3 linked regions of the Drosophila melanogaster genome follow. The protein of the gene in region 2 purifies or fractionates together with the protein of the main gene of each other region. This does not show direct contact. Each region holds a gene or a part of one and is shown on either strand. Other genes may lie near its edges.

Evidence for each region. The genes of interacting proteins can lie anywhere in the genome.
Region 1: the proteins of Dim1 (region 2) and CG7271 purify together in Drosophila melanogaster (affinity purification with mass spectrometry, with the first as the bait; one large-scale study listed by BioGRID). This does not show direct contact.
Region 3: the proteins of Dim1 (region 2) and Tep4 purify together in Drosophila melanogaster (affinity purification with mass spectrometry, with the first as the bait; one large-scale study listed by BioGRID). This does not show direct contact.

What each region holds. Positions count from the first base shown.
Region 1 is NT_037436.4:18,587,068-18,590,853, reverse strand, and holds CG7271 (uncharacterized protein), read right to left. Parts: upstream 2,096-3,786; 5' UTR 1,996-2,095; coding exon 712-1,995; 3' UTR 689-711; downstream 1-688.
Region 2 is NT_033779.5:4,401,389-4,404,478, forward strand, and holds Dim1 (Dim1), read left to right. Parts: upstream 1-1,862; 5' UTR 1,863-1,948; coding exon 1,949-2,026; intron 2,027-2,125; coding exon 2,126-2,476; 3' UTR 2,477-2,567; downstream 2,568-3,090. Other genes in the region: CG33003 (uncharacterized protein), read left to right, coding at 1-380, 478-1,703.
Region 3 is NT_033779.5:19,548,103-19,555,880, reverse strand, and holds the start of Tep4 (Thioester-containing protein 4), read right to left. Parts: upstream 6,189-7,778; 5' UTR 6,036-6,188; coding exon 5,953-6,035; intron 4,200-5,952; coding exon 3,468-4,199; intron 3,409-3,467; coding exon 2,982-3,408; intron 2,926-2,981; coding exon 2,588-2,925; intron 2,520-2,587; coding exon 1,966-2,519; intron 1,912-1,965; coding exon 1-1,911.

The DNA of each region.
Region 1 (3,786 bases), on a different chromosome or scaffold from region 2:
TAGTAATTTTACATTTTATTCATTTCCTCGTTCCTGTTCTCTTTTTTATATCGCGTCTATATCTTCTCGCGAATCGAGCCGTACGATACACGGCAGCGCCCCTCGGTCGGTTGGACGGGAGGTGTAGCCGTGGGACCCGAATTAAAAAAAAAAAAAAAGTTCATGTTTAAGTCTCTAGTTAAACATTAATTATTGTTTCAGCTAATACTCCTAAAAGTGCAATTTACAACACTCAACTACAGGGAAAGACACAAGAAATTCAACAATTCAAAATCACAAACACATAGTACAAGCCAGTTCTTTCGATCCCTATCACTTGTTTAATAAAAACATGTATCTTAACCGTGCTGGATTTTTTTAAATTTCTGGTACGCAACACTAAAGTCTTATCTACTACTAACCTAAGGGCGTAATCAAAACTTTGTATTACGGACTTTTGAAATAGGGCTTTTTGACCACAAAAAGGTACTATTAAGCCTATATTGCAGTGCCACGAAACAACAATATTGACAAAGACAATGGCATAAAGCATGCAGATGCTGTGATGCATGCGACTCACTGTGGGTCCCGACAGTCGCGTCCACGAGAATAGCTATTTAGAATAAAATGTATCTACATTTTGATACCCATAGTCCCGTAGTCGGTCCCATTGTCTGACCCGCAGTCGGTAAAATATAAATATTATGTAGGTGCTTAAAAGTTATCGTTTATTTAATAAAATTTAAAAGGACTATTGTGCTGGGCGTTGCTGATGACGACACACGGGCCGTGCTGCACCTTCACGGAGCTCTCGCTGCGCCAGTCGCACTCGATGGGCACAAACTGACCCTTCCGCATCATGGTCTTGGGCTTGGTGATGCCGTAGCAGGCGTGCTGGAAGACGCTTCTCGAGATGGGCAGGCACTGCTCGTAGATCTCCACGATGTCCGCGTGCATGCTGTCCACGGAGAAGTCCTGGCCACAGCGCAGCTTCTGGTGGATGTGCAGTTTGCTGCGTCGCGAGAACTGGGTGCGACACCTCCGGCAGTGGAGGTCCTTTAGCGGCGAGCTGGTCTGATCCCTTTCGATGGAATTGACGGGGGTGGAGAGCTCGTGGAGCCGCTGGAATTGGCCCATGATATTGTTCAGGATGAGGAAGTTCTTGTTGGGCAGCTGCTGGAGGGTTTCGCTGATATGATAGGGCACCACATACAGCTCCTTGGTGGTCTTGCACTGCTGCAGTCCGTAGAGATTGACGCGCATGTTGGGCGGGAAGTTGCCGTTGCACTCGCGGAAGTGCTTCAGGTAGGCGGAGCGCAGACTGGCAAGCTCTGCCTCGCTGGTGGAGCAGCCGGTAGTGGCGGTCAGGCCCTCCTCCTCCTGAAGCTGCAGGGGTAGGGCGAAGACGGACGAGTCCGCTGACTGACCGTCCGCCTCCACCCTAATCCTCTTCACCTGTACTTTCAATCTGGTGATGCTGCACTCTGCCATGCCGTACTCGCTGCTGCAGTTGAGGTAGTTTTCGATCCTCTGCATAAGCATCTCGTAGACCACGCCCACGGATTCGTCTACGTCGTAGTGGTGGTCCACCCTCAGCGAGCCGCTCTGAAAGATCAACACCTGGTCCATGGCGTTCACGTAGCAGGCCAAATTGAACTCCACGGCCACGGTGTTGTTCTGGAACATCCAGCGGAGAAGCTCGGGGATTCCCCTCGCACAGGTCTCGCCCATGAAGTGTTCCAGCTTGTCCTTGGAACTCTCGTCGCAGAAAAAGAAAGTCTCGATCTGGCGGGCCTCGATAATATCCATAACGGCCTGCTGTTGCTTGGTAAGATGCAAGCCCTGTGATGCTTCTCCTCCCCGCAGCCAATGCTGGGAGGGCGGCTCATCTGCGTCGATGGAGCTGTAGCAGGTGGCACATTCGTGTAACTGGCCCTGGGAAAACCACTGGTGGTGGAATGTCTGCGTGGTCTCTTCGTCGGTAAAAACGAAGCTGGATATGGGCTCGTCGAACATGATTGAGATATGGAAACTTTGGATTCGAAAACTGAAGGTGGATATAGCTCTGAAGCACTGAGATGTGTCTATGACAAGGTTCAGTTGCTGACTGATACCCTTCTCTTCGTCGACCTGGCTTATAGGCAAATTGAAGATGGAGGTAACAGGTAGTCTGCGAGTTTACCTGACGCAGGTATATCCCTTGGTAGATAACATCTGCTTAAGGATTTACCTAATATATTTATGGTTCTTTAAGAACTTTTATGAAGTTTATAGAGTGATTAGGGAATTTCATATTTTTTCGTTATTGCAGCAACATTTCAAAACCAGGCAATTCCAGGTGCGATTCCTTCAAATCTCATAATACAAGCTGAGTTCATTAAAGCCATTTATGGCAGTGACATATGCTGCAAATGCTGTAATTATTAGCTACTTACAAAGAAATATAGAGCCCAGTCCTATTGCCCTAGAAATATACGAATAAGAATATGTCAAACTTACCCATTTTAAACAACCAACATAGGTCAAGCTTCGTGCCTTTCAATTTAGTTCTCTCTATATATGCATTTGTCCCTATTCATTAATTTTAACTAGTTAAAGCTGCTTCTAAAAAAAAAGCCCATTCAACTCACTAAAGTGACCAAAGGCAAAAAGATCAACCAACAGACAGAGAGAGAGAGAGTAAACAAACGGCGCCACCACCGCGTGCAATTTGCAGCAGTCAAACGCAGGGCGCACCGTACGGTGGAGCCTCCCACTGCCACCGTTTTGAGCCATGGCATCGTGGCCGTTGTCTCCGCTGTAAAACCAAGTGCACAATGGCCAGTGGAGAAAGAGGACACTGGACAATGGCCACCTCGTGGCAAGTGACGCGACAATGGCGACGGCGATGTCCTGGATCTACAGGATCTGGACTCTGGAGCCAGTTGCACTGCAGTCGCTTAATTTCCGTTTCCGCTTTTCACGCTTCATTGTCCGCCTTGGCTTAGGTTTTGGTTTCGGTTTCGGGTGTGGTTTTCACCTCCCAGAGTTTTCCGCACTCAGTGCTATTTAAAGCCGCCTCCCAGTGAAATATGCTTGCAAATTAAGAATGGCAATTAGAAGGTGCTTCAAGTGGACAGTGGACAATAATTATTTAACCGAGTTTTACTTTCTCCCTGGTCGTTTATCTAGCTTTCATTGCTCTGAATTTGTAATGCATATATAGAGTTATATTAATGACTGATAATCATGGAAACCTCTGTTTTATTTCAATCAACAGAGAATAATGTCAATGGAAGCTAAAATTTTGAATGCCAATTGTATTACAAATAAATACTATGAATTCTTCAGATCTCTTTTTTAGTTAATGTAGTTATTTTGCTCAAATATCACTGAGTAAATGGCAATTAGTTTTCTTTGAAACTAATTTGTTTTTAATGCTCTTCTACTACTGGATTGCATTTAATGAAAATTGGACTCCAGGGAATTCAGAAAACAACAATTTTAAGGTTAAAAGACCAAAATATAAAGTTTACGGGGTCCAATTATAATTTTGAATTTTCGAAAATTATGCTATTAAAGTACCAGGAAATACAGAAAACAAATGTTTGGGTTAAAAATTCGAAAAAGGAAATGCTATAGAATCGAACAACAAATTACATACTTCCATAAATAATAATAATTCGTTTTTATGTGTTGATTTCTTTCATTATACACTAGTTTTTGGAGTTAAAAAAAGGTGTACTTTTGTCAAAAGGTTTTCTTTTGGATTTTGAAACTTCCAAGAGCACCCTATAAATCACTTTTGTACTTTGTTGCGCATTGTCA
Region 2 (3,090 bases):
TCCAGTGATTACATCGACATCCACGACAAGTCCACCTCCTATTCCTTACAACCATCAACCCGAAGGAACAACCAGTTCCCCACTGTTTGTCACCCCGTTAGTTGTCACAGAGGCGGAAAAAGTCGATGATCCTGCTCCAGTATCCGAGGAGCAAACAGAGCCAGTCGTACAAGGAGCCTCCACAGGACGCGCCGTGGACTACAGGACAGCGTATCCCTTTGGCCAACTGATAACTCCGTTGCTGCGAGGCGGCAAGCCGCAGCAGTACAACTCCCGACCAACGAAGACACGTATTTACCCGCAAGGTATACCATCCTACTACTCTTCATCATCACAAAATCCATCCCGCTATCAAGCTTCGAGGCCCAGCTATAAGAAAGGTATCATCATCGCATCAATAGAGCATACAAATCAAAACAGTTCTTAAATTCTCTAACAAATATTTTTATACATACTTATCTTTGTATTTAACCTAAGGAATCGCCGATCGTTTTGCTCCTGGCGAGGGAACCGCCGCTGGTCTGTTCAAGGGACACAATCATGATCACAGTCACGACCACAGTCACGATCATTCCCATGGACAGGATGGCAAGGTGGCCGCCGGCTCCAATTCGGTGAACTCCTATGTTTCTCCAGGCGATACGTACTCCTTTCCGCCGTTGAACACAAAGTATCCATCACCGTCACAGGATCCCAAGGCTGCATTGCCATCGGATACCGTGACCAGTTACCTGCCACCCGCATCTGGAGGGCTGAGCAACGCTGGATACATATATCCGGGGCCTTCTTCCAATGGTTACAAATATCCCGGTCCAGTGCCCAATAGCAATGCCGACAAGGATACGGCGGCCAGTATGGCGAGTGCTTCCCCGCCGGCTGATGATGACCCCGGTAATGATGATTCCATCGGAACCCTGCCAGCTAGTGCACAGGACAACATTCCTTCCAAGGATCAGGACAGTATGAGCGGTCCTGCTCCTGCAGATGGCATGGATATGGGATCTCCTGCTGATGGTGGAGATGGGGGTGGCGGTGGCGGCGGAGATGGGGACATCGGCGGTCTGCCATCTCTGCACAATGATGGTTCAGGTCCCGACGACGATCACAAATATGATCCCAATATGGAGTATGCCACACCACCGCCCGGTTGGCTGCAATCTCACCCAGAATCTGCGGCTCCCAAGCCGGATGATCACGATCACGACCATGCACCCGATCATGATCACGTGCATGATCACCACCACGATCACTATCCGACTCACTTCGACTACCAGCCCTCGTATCCGGATGATTCCTATCCGGATGTCATTTACGATGATCATCCACACCACCATCACCATGTCCACCACCCACCGCCTCCTCCTCCACCGCCACCACCACCACCGCCACCGCCACCGCCGACGGAACCACCACCACCTCCTCCGCCGCCACCAGAGCCACGTGTGAAGAAGTACAGCTACTTCTACATTGGCCGCAAGCTCTGGTACATCCCGCTCTACTTTACGGTGTGGTTCAGCTTCTACATCCTGTGGCTGATCATCAAGTCCATCGGTCGCCACAAAGTGAACCTACCCAATCACTACGTCTCGCGACGCAGTGCTCCCGATCCATTTACCGAGCAGGGACGGGACGAGTATATCAACGAGATGACGGTCAGGGTGCTGGAACACATAGATAGCTTTAAGCAGAAATACTTGAACTGATAAGGACGCTACTAATTACTAAATGCCTATTAAAAACTTAATTATAAACCGAACGTTCTTGCACTGCGTTTTATTGGGAAACACATTTTAAATTTCGATAGCCACATGGTTCCGTTTCCGCTGACAGCTGTCATCGATATGTAATCGATAAGGTTATGCTATCATTGTTAGTACATCACTATTTTGTGAGACTTTGTTTATGTTTTAATTTTTCTGCGGTAACTTGAAATAAAAAACGCGCCAGGATGTCGTATATGCTCCCTCATTTGCACAATGGCTGGCAGGTGGACCAGGCCATTCTCTCCGAGGAGGACCGAGTAGTTGTGAGTAATCGCAGTCGGTTTAAGAAGACACTGCTTCGTGGAGCACCACTTGGTCAATCACCCATCAGACATAAATAATCAGAATTGTTTCCCCTTCAGGTAATACGTTTCGGTCACGATTGGGACCCCGCCTGCATGAAAATGGATGAGGTCATGTACAGCATCGCCGAGAAGGTGAAGAACTTTGCTGTCATCTATTTGGTGGACATTACCGAGGTGCCGGACTTCAACAAGATGTACGAGTTGTACGATCCTTGCACGGTGATGTTCTTCTTCCGCAACAAGCACATCATGATCGATTTGGGCACGGGCAACAACAACAAGATCAACTGGCCACTGGAGGACAAGCAGGAGATGATCGACATTGTGGAAACGGTGTATCGAGGTGCCCGTAAGGGCCGTGGTCTGGTAGTCTCGCCCAAGGACTACTCTACCAAGTACAGATACTAAGGTGGGTCGCGTACCCCGCCGACTTAGTTTAATGTATCCCATTTAGGCGTAACAAATTGATGATCCCAAATAGAAGCGACTGTCTCTTGGCAACTTGTGTATATGTATTTTCTTCTGGTTTATTTTTCACTTGTCACATTTCTCATTAATATCGCTAACATGTACATCAATTTCTTGGTTTTTCATATATAACATTTAACTAAGTTTGTTCTTTAATAGCTCATACTTTTAAAAATTTTAATCCGTTCTTTAAAGTAAACTTTCATTAATAATTCTTGTATTTGCGCGTTAGTAGTACACATATTCGTTTTAATTTCGAATTGCTTTCATTTACCAATTTGATCAATTATGCTTTGAGTTTAGCTAGAGGTACATATAGACATCAATCGAGCTTATAAACATTATGGAAATTAGGTCGGACTATGGAAAGGGGGGCGTTAGTACAAAAGTATAAAAGAAAACATCGCAACGAAACATTCGCGGGAAAAGGAAAGAAGTCTTTTCTAGTAAAAACACTAAGTACTCGTATTCGAAGTTCACAAATTGAATGGCCTACGCATTGGTGCCGATATCCAAACTTTGTCTTCAACATTGTTATTGTTCATTTAATACAA
Region 3 (7,778 bases), about 15 Mb from region 2:
CCAAGTTGTATTGGTAGCTTATCTGGACCATAGCAGCTCCAGTTCCCTTGGCTTCAAACTCCAGCGACTTGGTGCCCTGTGGGAACTCGACTGTCTGGAGGAGCAGGTCATTTTCCTCCGATGTGTTGAGCTTCTCGGTCTTTTCACGCTTTCCCTTGTTGGAAACGGTCACCTCCCACTTGGCCGCCTCGTAGCCCGACTTCTCAGCGAACTTAATGAGGGCGGTGAGGCCGACAACCGTGTCCTGGCTGGAGGCAAATCCTCCGAAGCCATTACGCTGGGCGATCAACCAGCGAACGGTGTTCAGAACAGAGTCGGCTGTCTCCTGGTCTGAATCCAGAAGGGAAAGCAGCGCATATGATGTGATCTCCACATCCTGACTCCAGATCCAACACCACCAGCGTCCGCAGTTCTTGGAGGCACGCAGCTTATCCAGATCCTCGGTCCACCAGGTGCGATCGTCCTCGTGTTTGGCCAGGGACTTAAGACTGGCCACCTGCTTGGCAGCTTCCGGCGCCTTGGCCTTTTGCAGGGCATAAATGGCAATGGATTTGGGCAGGAGCTCAATGGACTCGGCAGTATTGGCGCTCAGATAGGCAACCGCCTTGTCAATGGCAGCCTGGTTCGGTTTCTCCTCCTCCAGCAGGGCGAGCAAGGAATTTGCGGTCAATGTCAATAGAGATCGCTGGGAGCTATAGAAATACTCTCCGTGTTCCGTGAAGCTACCATTTTCTGCCTGTCGAGTTAACAGGAATTCGTAGCCCTTGGCCAGGATCTGCTCATCCAAGTCAATTATATCCTTGATCTTGCTAAACGAGCGCAGCACATAGGCCGTCAGCCAGGTGGAACCATTGCGCACTGGATCCTCCTGCCTCCATTTGGTGGGCCCAAAGGAACTGAAGCTGCCGTCGTCGTGGCGATAGTGCAACATATGTTGGTATCCGTCCTGCAGATTCCTCTTGATGCGAGTGTCCAATGCAGGTGTGAGTTTCTTGATGCTCTTCAGATAATCCCTCACCAGATAGTTGGGCACCAATTTGGACATGGTCTGCTCACCGCAACCGCTGGGCAATCGCAACAGGTTCTCAAGGTTCTTGACCACTGGTCCCAAGAGATCACCCACCAATCCGAATTCCACACGCTCGGAGTCGGGGACCACATCCTCCGGCACTTCCAGCTCGAAGGTGTTCTTAAACTCACCCGTATCCTTAAGATTGATAAAGAATGCCCTGTTCTGGTACTGGGTAATTCCTTCGGGCACTACCTTTAGCGGCTTGTGTATAGCATCTCCGGCCAGCGGTGAGATGGCCTTGAATTTCAGCAAAATATTTCCAATGACCTTGGGTCGGATCAAAAATGAGGCTCCTGCCGCTTCGTTGGCGCCCACTCTGATGTTCTGCGTACGCTTCTGGTCACCAATAACCTCATTCGAGGCATCCACGAAGTCATACTCTTGATCCTCGTTGTCCAGGGTCAGTTCCACGTCCAGTGTCTTGGGCAGGTAGTTAAAGACCAGTGCCGGTACATTGATCACCTCACCTCGCTTCACGGAGTATGGCAATCGAACGGAGACAAAGAACGGCTGGAATGTCTTGATATTTGTCTGATCATTGGTGACACCTAATCCCTTCTGGGGATGCAGTGAAAAGCCGGTGACCACCCAGTTGGTGATCGTATCGGGTATGGTCTTTACCCACTTGAACACCTCCTCCTCGGTGCTCTCGATATCGGCAAAGATCCAGGTCTCTGCGAAATTCTTTCGCACTACTGGTGCTGCAGATGCAGACGCACTTTCGGCGGAGAATCCCACGGCCTGAGTTGGTCCGCCAGCACCGGAATGGAATACATGACTATCATGTGCCACTGTAGTCTTTCTCATGGCGAAAGAGCTTCCACCAAATCCTTCTGTAACTTCCAATAATTGCAAATTAATGTGGTTTATTATTATGACAAATTTATACGTACGAATATTGTAGTCTGGGGCGGTGCGATTATAGAAGAAATAGGCATTGGTCATAGTCACGACTCCAGTTCGCTCTCCGGGGTAGTAGGAGTATCCACCCTGCCAGGGAGTTGAGGTGTCATAGCCATTTAGGCGCCAGTTGAAGGATTCCTTGTTCAAATCGTTGTTGCTGCCCAGCAGAAGGACACTCTGATCGACGGCCAACAATCCAACGAATGACTTTGGCGACGTCTTGATCTCCAGTGCAACGTCGGCACCCGGTTTAACTTCCGCGGGAGCCTTGATTTCGATCTGGTTCTGCAGCTCGACCTCCACACTGAATGTTTCCTCGGTATATCGGAACTCTCCTGTCTCATCCACGTAGTAGAAGTACACCCGACCATAGGGAGTAGTGAGGAAAGTGGGCTTAATGGTTACGTTGACGGTCGTTTGGGGTTCCGCGAGGTCCACACGTTTCGTTTCCAATATGTTTCCACGTCCCACAATGTTGTACACAAAGTATTTGAGCGGACGACTGGAGTTGAGGATTACTTGATACTCCTGCCCGATCTTGAGGCTGCAATAGAAGTATTGTATATGGTTATTTAAAATCGTGGAACCCTTGCTCAACTCAACTGTACTCACTTCCAGACGTCCTTGGGCCTCTGAACTTCTGCCCTGAACCACTCCTTTTCCTCTTCAGAGCTAGGATTTTCAATCTGTTTTGGTTCCCTGTAGGGATAAGTGGTGTACAGATCTCGTTTTTCATCGACGAACTCCAGCTCAATGCTATAGTAACGAGTAAAGTTGGCGATATCCGGCAAATCGGGAAGAACCACCTTGAAAGGCGCCACACCAGACGCATTCAAATGGCTTTCAAACACAAACGTTTTCTTCTCAATCGTTGGCAATTCCGGTTCTTGATGATCTGTTCCAAAGGCATAGAAAGCATAATTGCGTCGAATTCCTTCAGTGAACTTGGCCTAGAGTTAAAACGAATTTATAAGTAGTGACAGATCTCTTAAGATTTCTAACCCACCTTCACAACAGACTTGGTGTCTGTAATTAGTGAGCCGTCGACATATGTAATCTTGAAGTTAAGTTCATGTTCCTTGTCGGGCTTGAAGGAGAAGCAACTGGAGTAGTCAGTGCAGGACATCTCATACCGATAGGGGTACAGCTGCACACCGCCTGTTTCATTGAGCTTCACGCCGGTGAAGTCTTCCTCCACGGTAGCCGTAATCTGGGCATATGAAGAAGAGGTCTTGTGCGGCAGATAACTGGCGAAGTCCTTGAGATCCATGGTCAACTTGGCCTTGCCTCCGACCATGTCGGCGGTGCCAACAACAGAATGTCCGGGGTAGTCCGTTTGCACTGTCTTGCCGTCCACATTCTCCCAACTGCTCGTCGAGTCCAGATGGACATTGACAAGAACTTTACCATTCACGGGCTTACCATAGGTGTAGCTGGGGGATAATGCTGATATAAGAATGTCCTAAAGCATAAAACTTCCGGTAATACTTACTTGGCCTTCAGGACGACATTGAACTCGCCATCTCGCACTGAAACCTGCTGCGTGGCATCCATTTTGACGGAGTACTTGGGCAGCACGTACTTCTCCACCTCAAAGTTGACGAGCTCATCCGAGCGATGCCAGCGATGACCAAATCCTCCAAATTGTTTACGACCCCCAAAGTAAATACCTCCGTCGTGGTGCTGATCTCCATTCTGAACATGAAGGGACCAGGAGCCCAATGTGGCGAACTCGGAGAGCTCGAATTTGCCAGTGTAGACGCCACCGGTGGTCTTTATGTGTTTCTCCTGCTTGATGCGGTTCCTTTTGGAGTCCTCAAACCAAACCACCACTTCATCCTTAGCGGTATCCGGCCGCAGGTTCTCGTCCAGGAAGATCACACGATAGTTGATAGTATCACCGGGCTTGTACTTTCCCTTATCGGTCTGGATTTTAATGTATGGCTTGAAATTCTCCCAGTTCAGCTTGGTGGAGTTCTTGAACTCCAGTCCCTTGACGCCCTCCGCCGTCAGATTATATTCACCCGCCTCCAATGGGGGCAGTTTGAAGGTGATCTGCTTGAACTCACCGGCAGTGGCTAGTTCCACGGTCTCAGTTTTGTTGTAGGAGGGTCCAGTGATGCCCACTTTCAGGGTGACTGGCTCCTTGGTCTGATGGACAGCCACGGCCACATTGTAGTCACGGTGGGAGTGGATGGTTCCGGGACCCACAATGGTGTACTTGCTGGAAGCAAAGAAAACATCAACATTATTGTCATGAAAAACAAAATAAAATCAAATAACAATTCGGCCATAAAAAATTCCAAGAAGAGAAAAAAACATACACATATCCACTTGGAAATATTTGTAGTATTGTATTTGTATAATATATAGTATTGTATTTCTTGATAGTAACTATAGCTATCAATATTCAAATTATCAATATCAAATTCTTGACCATGCTCTAAGAATTCAAAAATAAATGTATATTGTCTAATCTCTAGGGAAACACAGAAATGAAACTTAAAACCATTAACCTCGACTTGATAATGTTCCCAATCTTTAAAAGGCAGTCTAAGATTCGGTTTAGGTTTTTGAGTTATGGTTTTTTTGATCTGTGACAGCAAATGATGAAATATATATGTATATATATATATAACGGATAATATTCCCAGAACCTGATCTTCTACTGAAAAGTATGAAACCGGCTTAGAGATTACATAATTCCAGCTTTTGCGATTAGCAATCTTTCTCGCACTTACAGTCCCCGATCACGTACACCAATATTGTTAGCCTGAACATCATTAACTTTTTTGGATTAGATTTGTTCCAGCCTTTTATGTTAGACTTCAAGTTTATGACATTTTTAAGTGTGTTCCATAACCCACCTTCATATTCGTTTCTAATTACTAATAATTGGCGGGACAGGAAAAAGTACAGATTTAAGATCGTGTGAAAGATTGATCAGCGAAACCATTGAGGCAAACAAAGTATGTGACGTGATCCTCTTGTTTGAGTAAAAAATATAAAAATCCATATTCAAAATGGCTTACAGTGAAACTCAATTAGCATCATAAGTTGAGCTCAACAAAAATGAAGAAAATAAAACACCCCTCAACAAGGTGAGATTAAAGTGGCGATGGCACCTTCAACTCAAAAATTAAATACCAGATATTAGTTCGGAGTAACTAAACCTCTTTAAAAAAGAAATTCTGAATATTTTTGAAGTGAGTGAATAGTTGTGATCGGACTATCGTACCAGATTTTCAATTTTATTGAATTTCCCCAAATTCACCCTTTTAGGTGCTCATCGTCACTACGTGGACAGAAGTCTAGTGTTTAATCTTATAGGTGTGATAAGGAACGATGTTTAACATTTGCTATATACATAATTATATATCTAAAAGTTAAATTACTATTTGAAAAATGTAGAGCAAAATGTTATTAGGTTAGTGATTTGTAAAAACCGTAAAAAAACTCTCCTATAAATCCAAGGACAAACCAGATGGTATAAACAATTAAGCTAATAGGTGATTTTGCGTATAAATAACAGCTTAATTACCTTGATGTTCATTAAAAACGGCCCTATCTGTATACATATATGCATACCTAATTAATTGAAATATTCGACGACAGCCATACAGTGACTGTGAATATAATAGTGGTAATAAGTAATAAACATAGATAATATAGTTTGGATTGCAGTAATCTGTGTTTAAGTGTTCGAGTGAGACGGGAATCCAACCACTAGCGTATTAGGGAAATGGTTAAAATTTTTAGCCATCAGTTTTTATTCAAATTATCAACCGAATAACCGAAGTAAGAACAATACGTTTTATAGGCCAGCTTTGTAAAGAACTATAGTTTTAGATATCTGGCTTTGATTATCGCCTATATTTTTGCGAATTCCTAACCCGACTCTACTAATACTCTAACCGTAGATGTGTTTTAAAATCGATCCGATCATATAGTATAGTATTTGTGGTATATGGACTTACCCCTCGGCTTTTACCGGTTCCATCGTCTGCAGCAAGGCCAAAATCACACAAAGCGAGACAGCAAAAGCGTCTGCGCGACGCATTTTGATTGGATTGGTGGTCAAATGAGGGCAAAAAGGATGGGAAATAAGAGCACAGATATTATAAGGCTATAATGCGCGGGATCGATGCTGGCGGAAGTTTGGTTAGCGACTGAGCGACTGCGACCGACTGGGATCAGAGCCGAGCTGGGACTGGTTCGGTTCGATGGCCCACGGATTTGTTATAATACCGAGCGACTCTAAAACCCCAGGCCCGGCAGACGAAGCCGAGCTCCAGTGGGGCGAGCAAGTCGTAAAAAAAAAAACTGATAAAAATTATAAGTAAATAAAACTGGCAGAGTGTGTGTTGTTGTGGTGTGTGTGTGTGTGTGTGTGTGTGTGGCGGTGTATGTGGTGCGCCCACTGAAATCGATGACGCGAGTTGGGCAAACAAAACCTTAACAATAATAACATGGCCACAAAAAACGCCGGCACTCCAATATCAATATTCATTCGTGAGTATTCACTTGGGCTAGTTGCCGCTGAAATATCATTCGTAATTTGATTTAAGAAGGAATTTATGGGAATTTACTGGTCAAAGGGATCAAAGATGATTATTTCTAATTATCATATTTACAAATATTACATTTGTGAGTATTCACTTGGACCAATTTCAGCTTAAAAATCATTCGTAATTTGATTTTAGAAGGAAGTTAGGGGAACATACTGTTCAAAAGAATACAATACAGGATGGATTTATGGGAATTTACTGTTCAAAAACACCAAAGATGAATGTTTCTATTTTCATCATATTTTCAAATATTGATTCGAGTATTCACTCGGGCCAGTTTCAATCATAATTGGACTAATAAATGGGAAATAGGGATTTACTGCTAAAAAATTGCAAAAAATTAATGTTTCGAATTTCACCATTTTTAGAAATGAATATATTATATGAATATTACGAATAAAGGGCGAACAAATAGGCGTGACTGTATAGAAGAACAGAAAGTTGGTATTACTGATTGCCCATGAGTGATATTTCAGTTATTTGTCACAGAACTATCGTCATGCAATAGTCAAATTATAACAACTTATTCATATTTCGTGTGGGGTTTTTCGATAATTAACACTTTAATTGTCACCAATAACTGTCGCTTCGTGTTTCGCAATGATTTGAAATATAGATTTTCCTTTTAAATAATTTACGTACATTATCTGGTTTTTGGAAAAGCCCAAATGATTTTTTGCGAAGATCTCGCGTAAAATCCCAATATATGAATTGAATACAAATATTTATGTTTTTGTCGTGTGGCAAATGACGTGCGTGCAATATTATTTGGACTTGTTGATTTGCAGTGTTAACGGAACTGCCTCCTAAATCGAAATACGGAGACCAACTGACTAGGCGTTGTGTACATATATATCGAAAACTCTTTCCTGCTCTCTCTGAGTCAGCTGTTGTTGTTTTGTTAGATGTCGCTCTCTTGATTTGCCGAATGATGACGTCACTTGGCTGTATTTCACACTGCCTTGCAAATGAAACGGGTATATAATGTAGCGATGAGTAATGCCAATATATAAGAGATATTCGCTCAACTGCGTTTCTCTTGGTGATTCCCCGTTTGTTCTTTCTCTCGTGCGGTTCGGTTCCGTGTAATCTATAAGTAGTGATATTGGGTGATATGAATACGCTGCAATCTAGGAAAGGAATTAGCTTTAAAACGCTGTAATTTCATGATTAATTAAATTGTGGTGATGTATGGTGAATTAATTTGCTTGTAACAAGTAATCTTCCTTGGCTTT